Linked DNA regions of Saccharomyces cerevisiae S288C. Each later gene encodes a partner of the first gene's protein in a complex. Each region holds a gene or a part of one and is shown on either strand. Other genes may lie near its edges. The genes, in order: MRPL51, MRPL20 and MRPL50.

Region 1 (2,673 bases):
TTTTAAATAAGAATCTACAATTCCTAACAAGCTAACTTCGGAAGACTCGTTCGGTATGTATCTGGAAGTATCAATCCTCGGGTATTTCCTTCTATACTCTTCCAAAAATAAAGTATCATCGTCGTCATTAAAATCCGGTGTTCGCCTTTTTTTGTTATTACGTTGTTTCAAGTATTCGGTGTACAATGCATTTGTAAGCGTAGAAACACTATTATCGGCCCCCTTTCTCTTCGCAAGTATACCTCGTATTTCGGGATGAACAGGCTCTCTTTTTATATTCGCAAATTCCTTCTTTACTAATTGATCTATTTCATTTTTGTAACCATCTGGTATTTTCCCTTTATCAACAAAGCTAAGGCCGTCCATCAAATCTAAACGTTGAATACCGTACGGTTGCTCTTTCAGATATCCTAGAAGTTACATCTTTTATATGTTTCAGTCTTATTCCATATTTATTAGACTAGTGTGATTTGCAGGGTGTAAAGCGGGTAACCAAATACAAGAGGTCATATTTCAGGACATGATCATATAACAATGGCAAAATTGACTTTAAATCTTAAATATCAGGAGTCTTATCTGCCCCAAATTATATATACAAGTATAATTATCTCTCTCTATTTCTAGAATTTTCTTATATACTAAAGCTAAATTCTATGCCTTTTCGCAGCATGCAGAGGCGACCATATACCCCTCACACTACTGTTCAAGCTTTCCACGTTATCATTCTTTGTTCTTCTGCGTAAAATGTCTCCATCAGAATCCTTCAATAGCTTTAGCTTGTTTTCTACATTGTCAATGTTCAAGTTTCTCACACAAATAACTTTTTCACGCCCATTTGTGTATTCTGCCCTCAACAAAGGATGTCCAGACTTCCTCATCACTTCAAACTGTATCCATGGGAACTCCTGGCCCCATTTATCTAATCTCTTTGAAGTCAAAAATTTCCTCATGCCTTCCGAAGACCCTCCCCAGTTACAGAATTGCAAAGTAATCTTTCTGCATGGAAACACGAATGCTCCAACTCCATTACGACCTATGGAATTTCGTGCAATAGCTTTCACAACCATTTCTCCATATATTCGTGTCTGTGTATCTACTTAGTCATGGTTTATGATAATCGTATTGATTGATCTTTTTTATCTCAGGGCTTATGATTTGTTGTAATTCTTATGAGCATCCCTCATCCGAAAAAGACGGAAAGCACCGTAACGTATAGTGCGATAAACTTACAGAAAAGAATAGTATTATTTAAGGGAGTTAAATGGAGTTGTTTGATGATATAGGCAGATCAAACTACGCTTTACAGTCCAGTAAACTTAACAACGAAAAATGTGTTTAGTCAAAACTACGGCTCATTTGCTTTTTTATTCCTTTGTGTATGTACAGATTAAGACACAAGAAAAAATTTGAACAATTATGATTAATTGAGAATAACTGACTAACAACTTTTATGTACCAACTTAATCTTTCAGATTTGGAGGAACGACGTTTTATTCCTATGTAGCTTCTCCAATCGCATTCAAAGTTCTTGAAAAAGACCAATTTTCTGCTTTGCAAAATAAGATCTTCCCGTATTTTTTCCAAATGCAAGCGGCATCACCTGTCATCCTGGCCCTTACCGCTCCAATTGCCTTGACAACAGGACCATTATCTTCTTTGGTGGTTGCATCTGTCAGTGGGCTAACCAATTTGTTTTGGTTGTTGCCCTGGACCCATAAAGTTAAAGAACAAAGAAAGAATATTGCGAAGAAATACACGGGTAGTGAATTGGAAGCAAAGGATGCTATATTACGTAAAGAATTTGGCAAGTCGCACGGATTGAGTCTTTTGTTCAATCTTTCTAATGTTTGCGGGATGCTTGCGTACGGTGTTTGTTTGTCAGGTGGTTTGTTAAGAAAAATTCCAAAATAATTATTTTACAAGTAAATATATATATGCAAGATCATTTTTTCGTCATTCCTTTGCCAAGGTGGAGATGAAGTTCGCAATCGGAATTTTTTGACCCTCAATTAAAGAATAAGGGACTCAGTTCTCTGCTATCCTGATCTTGGCTAAAAATAACTAAAAGGGGAATTGTGCTGTTTGTAGGATCTTAAAATAAAAGAGAACAATATTTATCTTGAAGTTTTTTCTATTTTTTTATTTCTACAAGCTTTTCTTATATATAGACCTAGCAATCCTATATTATTAAGCCGGAAAATCGTAACGAATAAAAACGAATAAAGGAGATACTAGAAAGGGCCTACTTTTTAGCAATTTGAGCTTCTAAATAATTTTTTAATTCCTGTGCGAAAACTTGAGATCTCAATTTATCAATTTCACTTTCATCAACAACAAGATTCAATAAATCTTTGTATTGCTTTTCTAATTCAACTTCATTCTCTTTATGTAAAAAATCGTAATCACCTGTATCGAGATCCAAATCCACCAAATCACCATCTCCAAGTCCAAAAGATCCAGAGCTGGATGGCATAACCAAGGAGTTTATGTCACTCCAATTCTTTTGAAGTATGCCAGCAGCGTGTTTGTTATTTTGTTTAGTACCTTGTTTAACCTTCAAATCTAACAACTTCTTATAGATTTTTCTCGCACCAATCTTTTTATTAAGAACATTATTAACTTGAACTTTCAAAAGTTTGACATCAATATCGATATCATCTCTACAAATTAACT
Region 2 (3,253 bases), on another chromosome or scaffold:
GTTGGCACCGTAGTCTTATAGTATCTTTGAACTGTCTTTTCATCATTGGCTTCCTCACCATTGCGTTCACCCTCACTTTCTTCCTCGTCAAGCCAGTCTGGAAGCCGATCATTTGGCCTTTGTTGCGAAATTGAGATGTTTGCCAGTTTTTGAGTAACATTCGCACTCCCATTAGCAGCAGCAATTGGCTTCTTTGGTGTCTTCTTCTTCTTCAAAGTTTTCTTCAATTCCGCCAGCGTGCTTTCCAAATCGAAATTGTTGTCAAACAAAGCTAGCTTAAGTGAAAGATTATCCCAGCCTTGGTAATCCTGTAACTGCGCCTTTAGAGTAGGAAATACCTCGTTCATTAGATCATATTCATCGTCATTCAAATAATCATCAAATTCACCTTCGTCGTGAAAGTCCGGCATGTCGTCTGCTCCATCGCTGTAGTCACTGTAAGCCATCTCGATAGTCAATAGTTGTCGAAGCAGAAGCCTTTGGGTGTCTCCAAGCTGTACTTAACTCTTTTTAAATTGCTTATTGGTTAGCTTTCATGTGGTATATTCAAGTCACATTAATGGGCGTCTCCGTGCATTGTGATCAATATATGAATACGAAGTACTTATAGAGTAGTATTTACACGATTGTTATTATATTTATATAGCATTCACGCCTGGTACCACAGGAGTTTTCTACGCTTACGGTCCTCTCTGGCTATACGCCTCTTCTCCTTCCAGCGTGATTGGATTTCTTGCAATCTACTTTCCATAATTTGTACATGTTGTTCACTAGGTTTCGAGACCATGGATACAAATAATGGCGAAATGCCATATTTTGCAGCCAAAAATTTGCGTGTATACTTTTGAGGATTGTCAAGACGTAACTTCCGGATCTCATCAATTTCTTGAGGTCCCAGATGATAGGTTTTGCCGTTCACTGTGCTCTTACCTACGAGAACATTTGGACACTGCTTCGCTTTAGTGCTTTGAACAGGCATGTCAAGCCCTCTACGAGGGTCACTGGCTGCCATAAAGCTACGTGGAATGGTCTCACTGTTAACAGATCCGGTTGCGATGGATTCTGATGGTTGATAGTACATTCCTGGAGCATCTCTGTGCTTTAAATACCCTTTATAGTTAGATGCGCTCTTAGTCTTGTTGTAAATCGTTGTCACTTGTGTTTTGGGAAATCCAAATTGCTTCCAGGCAGATCCAGCAGTGTGGAACGATCTGCAGCACACACCTCTGCCAATCATTCTTGTGCTATTTTACTTTGTCTTTAATTTTCCATTTTAACTTGTTGAAAGTATCTCTTTTTGCCCTCTTTTCTATTTTCTCAAATAATAAAAGCGGTGAAAGCTGAAAAATTCATGAGATGACTGCAGATGATAAAACACAAGAAGGCCCAAAGACAATACAAATACCTCTGGTATGGGTCATTCGGGGCGTGAGGAAAGGATAAAAGACATATTTAAGGAACTTACGTCAAAAGAACTAACGCCTGGGTTGCTTTTGACACTGCAGAAACTAGCGCAAAAGCCGAATACTAATCTAGAACAGTTTATTGCCAGCTGTAAAGCTTTGACGAAACTCAGCAGTAACAATCCAATCATTTTTAATGAACTTCTGGAGCTCCTCAAGAATAAATCTGAAGAGGACTCGACAGGCCCAAAGAAAATCGCCCCTTCTATAAATAAGAGAAAGAAATTTAAGATCCAGTTAGACCTTGACGATAATGAAGATGAGCTAGATTCTCCAGTTCAAAAAAAACCAGCACCTACACGGACGTTGTTCAAGAGAATAGATAAACTAAAGGCCAAACAGTTGAGGCAGTATTCGCCCACCGTGAAGGATCCTTCTCCAAATAGTGAACAGCAAACACAGAATGGTCATGCTGAAACGAAGGACTATGAACCGACTCGAAGCGAAGTAGTTGAGGAGGACAGAGAATGGTATGATAATGATGATGATTATGGAAATTTGGTGCCTGAACCTCTGTCTGAATTGCCTGAGGAAGCGAAACTACTACCTGTCATTAGGAATATCGACAACGATGATGCCTTACGAAATACCGTTCAATTATACCCCATACCACTCAAGCAAAGAATGGAATGGATCCCTCCTTTTTTATCAAAGTTTGCTCTTGAAAACAAAGTGCCCACTTCCATAATTATCGGGTCCATCTCTGAGACGTCCAGCCAAGTATCCGCTTTATCAATGGTGAATCCATTTAGGAATCCTGACAGTGAATTTTCTGCGAACGCCAAACGAGGTAGTAAGCTGGTTGCCTTGAGAAGGATAAACATGGAACATATTCAACAATCTCGAGACAACACCACTGTTTTGAACACTGCCATGGGGGAAGTACTAGGCTTGGAGAATAACAATAAAGCAAAAGATAAGAGCAACCAAAAGATTTGCGACGATACAGCTCTTTTCACGCCATCAAAAGATGACATTAAACATACTAAAGAGCAACTGCCTGTTTTCCGCTGCAGATCTCAATTGTTATCATTGATAAGAGAAAATCAAGTAGTGGTGATAATTGGTGAAACGGGCTCAGGTAAAACCACGCAACTTGCACAGTATTTATATGAAGAAGGATATGCCAACGATAGGGGGAAATCTATTGTTGTCACACAGCCGAGAAGAGTAGCAGCCATATCCGTTGCAAAAAGGGTTGCAATGGAAATGCAAGTTCCATTGGGTAAGGAAGTAGGCTATTCTATAAGGTTTGAAGATGTGACGGATTCTGAGTGTACAAAACTTAAGTTTGTAACGGATGGTATTCTACTCAGAGAGACCTTATTGGATGATACACTCGATAAATATTCGTGTGTTATTATTGATGAAGCTCATGAAAGGTCATTAAATACAGACATTTTACTAGGTTTTTTCAAGATTTTATTAGCACGTAGAAGAGATCTAAAACTCATAATCACTTCAGCAACAATGAATGCGAAGAAGTTCTCCGCATTTTTTGGTAATGCTCCTCAGTTCACAATTCCTGGAAGAACTTTCCCCGTACAGACCATATATACTTCCAACCCTGTTCAAGACTACGTAGAAGCTGCAGTTTCTCAGGCTGTGAAAATTCATTTAGCAAACGATTGTTCAAGCGGTGATATTCTCATTTTCATGACAGGTCAAGAAGATATTGAAACAACGTTCGACACTCTGCAAGAAAAGTTTTTGCAAGTATATTCTAAAAAGTTTGGTACCGCAAACTTTGAAGAGATCAATGATATTGAAATTTTACCAATCTACTCGGC
Region 3 (2,732 bases), on another chromosome or scaffold:
GCTATCATTCGTTGCGCTGTTCCCCAAAATGAGAATGAATTGAAGTTGTTAAACCAAATTATTTCCTTAGTCGTAGAAATCTACGATGGGTTCACTCAAGATTTAGTCCAACAGTCTCCAAACTTATTCATTACCAACGACATCTTGAAAAGAACTACCAACTTGCGTCAGCAAGAACTGAACAAGATCAAAAAGTTTATGAAAGAAACTGAATTGGAATTGGCAAAGGAGAAGAAATTAGAATTGGAAAAAGCCAAAAGACGTCAATTGAAGGCCTCTGGTCAACAAGAAAAGGTAGATCAAAAAATGAAAGAGAAAAGAGAAAGACGTCTCAAAAACAAGCAAAGAACAAGATTTCAGTAAGAACCACTTTGTTCTTCTTTCCTCCTTATAATTTTCTGAACCTCTTCAGTTTTTGTATACGAACGTTTTCCATGTATCCATACATTTAAATAGTAAGTATGTAAATTGGTATGTGGTGTTTTGAATTGCGATGTTGCCTATATACAAGATTGTACGCTATCTGAATACATACTCTTTACCAATCAAATGTCAAGACCGGGGATCTTAACCTCTTCGATAGTAATCCCAGAATCCAATAATCCCTTCTTTTCCTCTTTTGGCTTCTCTTCTTTCTTGTGGCCAAAAACAGATTCTTTACGTAACTCCATGTTCTTTTGAACTTCCGTTTCATGGCGTTTAGAGAGCTGTTGATGGTCTTCCTCTAGCTTTGCCTCAAGTGTTTGGTATTGTTTTAACAGTTCCGTATTTATGTCGTGTTCTTCGCTGAGTATGTATTTTGCACCATTGAAGTTATGTAAATAGTTTCTCATTAAAGATGGTTTGACATTTGCAACTTGTCCTTTATATAATTGAAATCGCGGGAAATCCTTCAGGACTTGAACCTTGACCCTGTGGGTTCTCTTTGTCAGAGCGCTCAGACACACCTGGGTGCAATGTAGCATCTTTGGTCGACCTGTTTCGTTCGTTATTTAGTTAGCCTTTTATATTCCTTACGGTATAACGTAACTTAACTGCCCTTTGAGTTTGCTTTTTCATCGGAAAGAACAAATGAACTAAAAACTTGCAATAATAAACAAAAAAAATACAAAATAACGTGGATGTATTAAACCAAAAACAAAATAAGACAACTCTAAAGCTGTCAAACAGAGATCTAACGGATTGAACCATGTCCAAAGTAATGAAACCCAGCAACGGAAAAGGTTCTAGAAAGAGTTCAAAAGCAGCCACACCTGATACTAAAAATTTCTTTCATGCAAAGAAAAAGGATCCGGTGAACCAAGATAAAGCAAATAATGCTTCTCAAATTACGCCAACAGTGCCACATTCTCATCCATCAGATATGGTTATCCCTGACCATTTAGCCGAATTGATTCCTGAGCTGTATTCTTTCCAACAACTGGTGGATTCCGAGAAAAGATTAGATCATTTTATTCATCTGCGAAACTTACATATGAAGCGAATGGTTGCGCAGTGGGAGAGGTCAAAGCTATCCCAAGAGTTTCTTTATCCTCATTTAAATTTTCCAAATGTAAAATTTCTCCGAATCTTCATTTCAAATGTTAGTGAAAACCAACCCTGGCAAATGGACACAAACAATGAGGCTGACCTTATGGCACTGGAGAATGCCACTTGGACGATGAGAATCGAAGGTCGATTATTGGACAATGTGCAAGCTAATGATCCAGCAAGAGAAAAATTTAGCTCATTCATAGAATCGATAGTGGTAGACTTCAAAAATAAGGAAAACGATAATGTGCCATCGACTAAATTTAATGCGGCCCCTGAAGAAAATGCCACCGAAGGACCCAGTGATAAGAAATTGAACTTAAACTTACCGTTACAATTTTCACTGCCGAATGGTGACAACTCTACTACGACTAATACCGACCAAAATAATGCCACGATGGGGGAGGAGACTGCCAAAAAGGATATGAGTTCTACAACTCCAAAACTAGAATCAGTGAAATGGCAGTATGACCCGAATAATCCTGTAGACTTCGATGGTCTCGATATTAAGAGGGTAGGGTCTGAAAATGTAGAATGCACTATAAGCATCCTGCGAAAATCATCCCCAGAAGAGCCATTTATGAGCTACTCTCCACAACTAACCGCAATAATAGGATTGAAGAGCGGTACATCACATGATGCAATATTTTCCATATATAAATACATCCATTTAAATGAATTGCTTACCAATGATGAGTCTGCATTCGAAAATTTGATGGGCAACAGGAACAATCACAATAGCAACACCAGTACTAGTAAGATGCTTGATGCAGCCTCCAGTCAAGTTTCTATTGTAAAATTAGACACTCAGCTTATTACCTTATTACCCAGCAGTCTTAAAGAATCTTCTCCAGATACAATGAAATTAACGGATTTACTGTCCCTTATTAATAGTACTCACCTGCTCCCATTACAGCCAATTGAAATTGATTACACAGTACGCGTTGATAAAGCTTCCACTTATGGTGAGTTGGTTCTTGATATTGAAGTACCTGATGTCAACGCTCTAAAATTCAATAATACACAAAGAGAAAGTCAAATTGGGGCTGCTGAATTGAATGAAAATGCCAGGGAATTGGAACAAATCAAACCCAAGATAGCTTTACAGGACAAAGAAATAACGTCCGTTCTCTCGAATCTACACGAGAGCAACAAACGATACCGTTTCTTCAAGAAAATTAGTGAGGACCCAGTTAAAGCAT

Evidence for each region.
Region 2: MRPL51 (region 1) and MRPL20 share a complex: the UniProt entries of both Saccharomyces cerevisiae proteins name them as parts of the mitochondrial large ribosomal subunit.
Region 3: MRPL51 (region 1) and MRPL50 share a complex: the UniProt entries of both Saccharomyces cerevisiae proteins name them as parts of the mitochondrial large ribosomal subunit.

What each region holds. Positions count from the first base shown.
Region 1 is NC_001148.4:728,185-730,857, reverse strand, and holds MRPL51 (mitochondrial 54S ribosomal protein mL43 MRPL51), read right to left. Parts: upstream 1,068-2,673; coding exon 645-1,067; downstream 1-644. Other genes in the region: SNT309 (Snt309p), read right to left, coding at 1-366; YPR099C (uncharacterized protein), read left to right, coding at 745-1,101; TMH18 (Tmh18p), read left to right, coding at 1,330-1,376, 1,473-1,911; LEC1 (Lec1p), read right to left, coding at 2,243-2,673. UniProt on the Saccharomyces cerevisiae protein: Component of the mitochondrial ribosome (mitoribosome), a dedicated translation machinery responsible for the synthesis of mitochondrial genome-encoded proteins, including at least some of the essential transmembrane subunits of the mitochondrial respiratory chain.
Region 2 is NC_001143.9:598,445-601,697, forward strand, and holds MRPL20 (mitochondrial 54S ribosomal protein mL58 MRPL20), read right to left. Parts: upstream 1,238-3,253; coding exon 650-1,237; downstream 1-649. Other genes in the region: ribosome dissociation factor GTPase HBS1, read right to left, coding at 1-446; DEAH-box RNA helicase PRP16, read left to right, coding at 1,413-3,253. UniProt on the Saccharomyces cerevisiae protein: Component of the mitochondrial ribosome (mitoribosome), a dedicated translation machinery responsible for the synthesis of mitochondrial genome-encoded proteins, including at least some of the essential transmembrane subunits of the mitochondrial respiratory chain.
Region 3 is NC_001146.8:669,229-671,960, forward strand, and holds MRPL50 (mitochondrial 54S ribosomal protein bL9m MRPL50), read right to left. Parts: upstream 966-2,732; coding exon 546-965; downstream 1-545. Other genes in the region: YNR021W (uncharacterized protein), read left to right, coding at 1-363; SNF12 (Snf12p), read left to right, coding at 1,190-2,732. UniProt on the Saccharomyces cerevisiae protein: Component of the mitochondrial ribosome (mitoribosome), a dedicated translation machinery responsible for the synthesis of mitochondrial genome-encoded proteins, including at least some of the essential transmembrane subunits of the mitochondrial respiratory chain.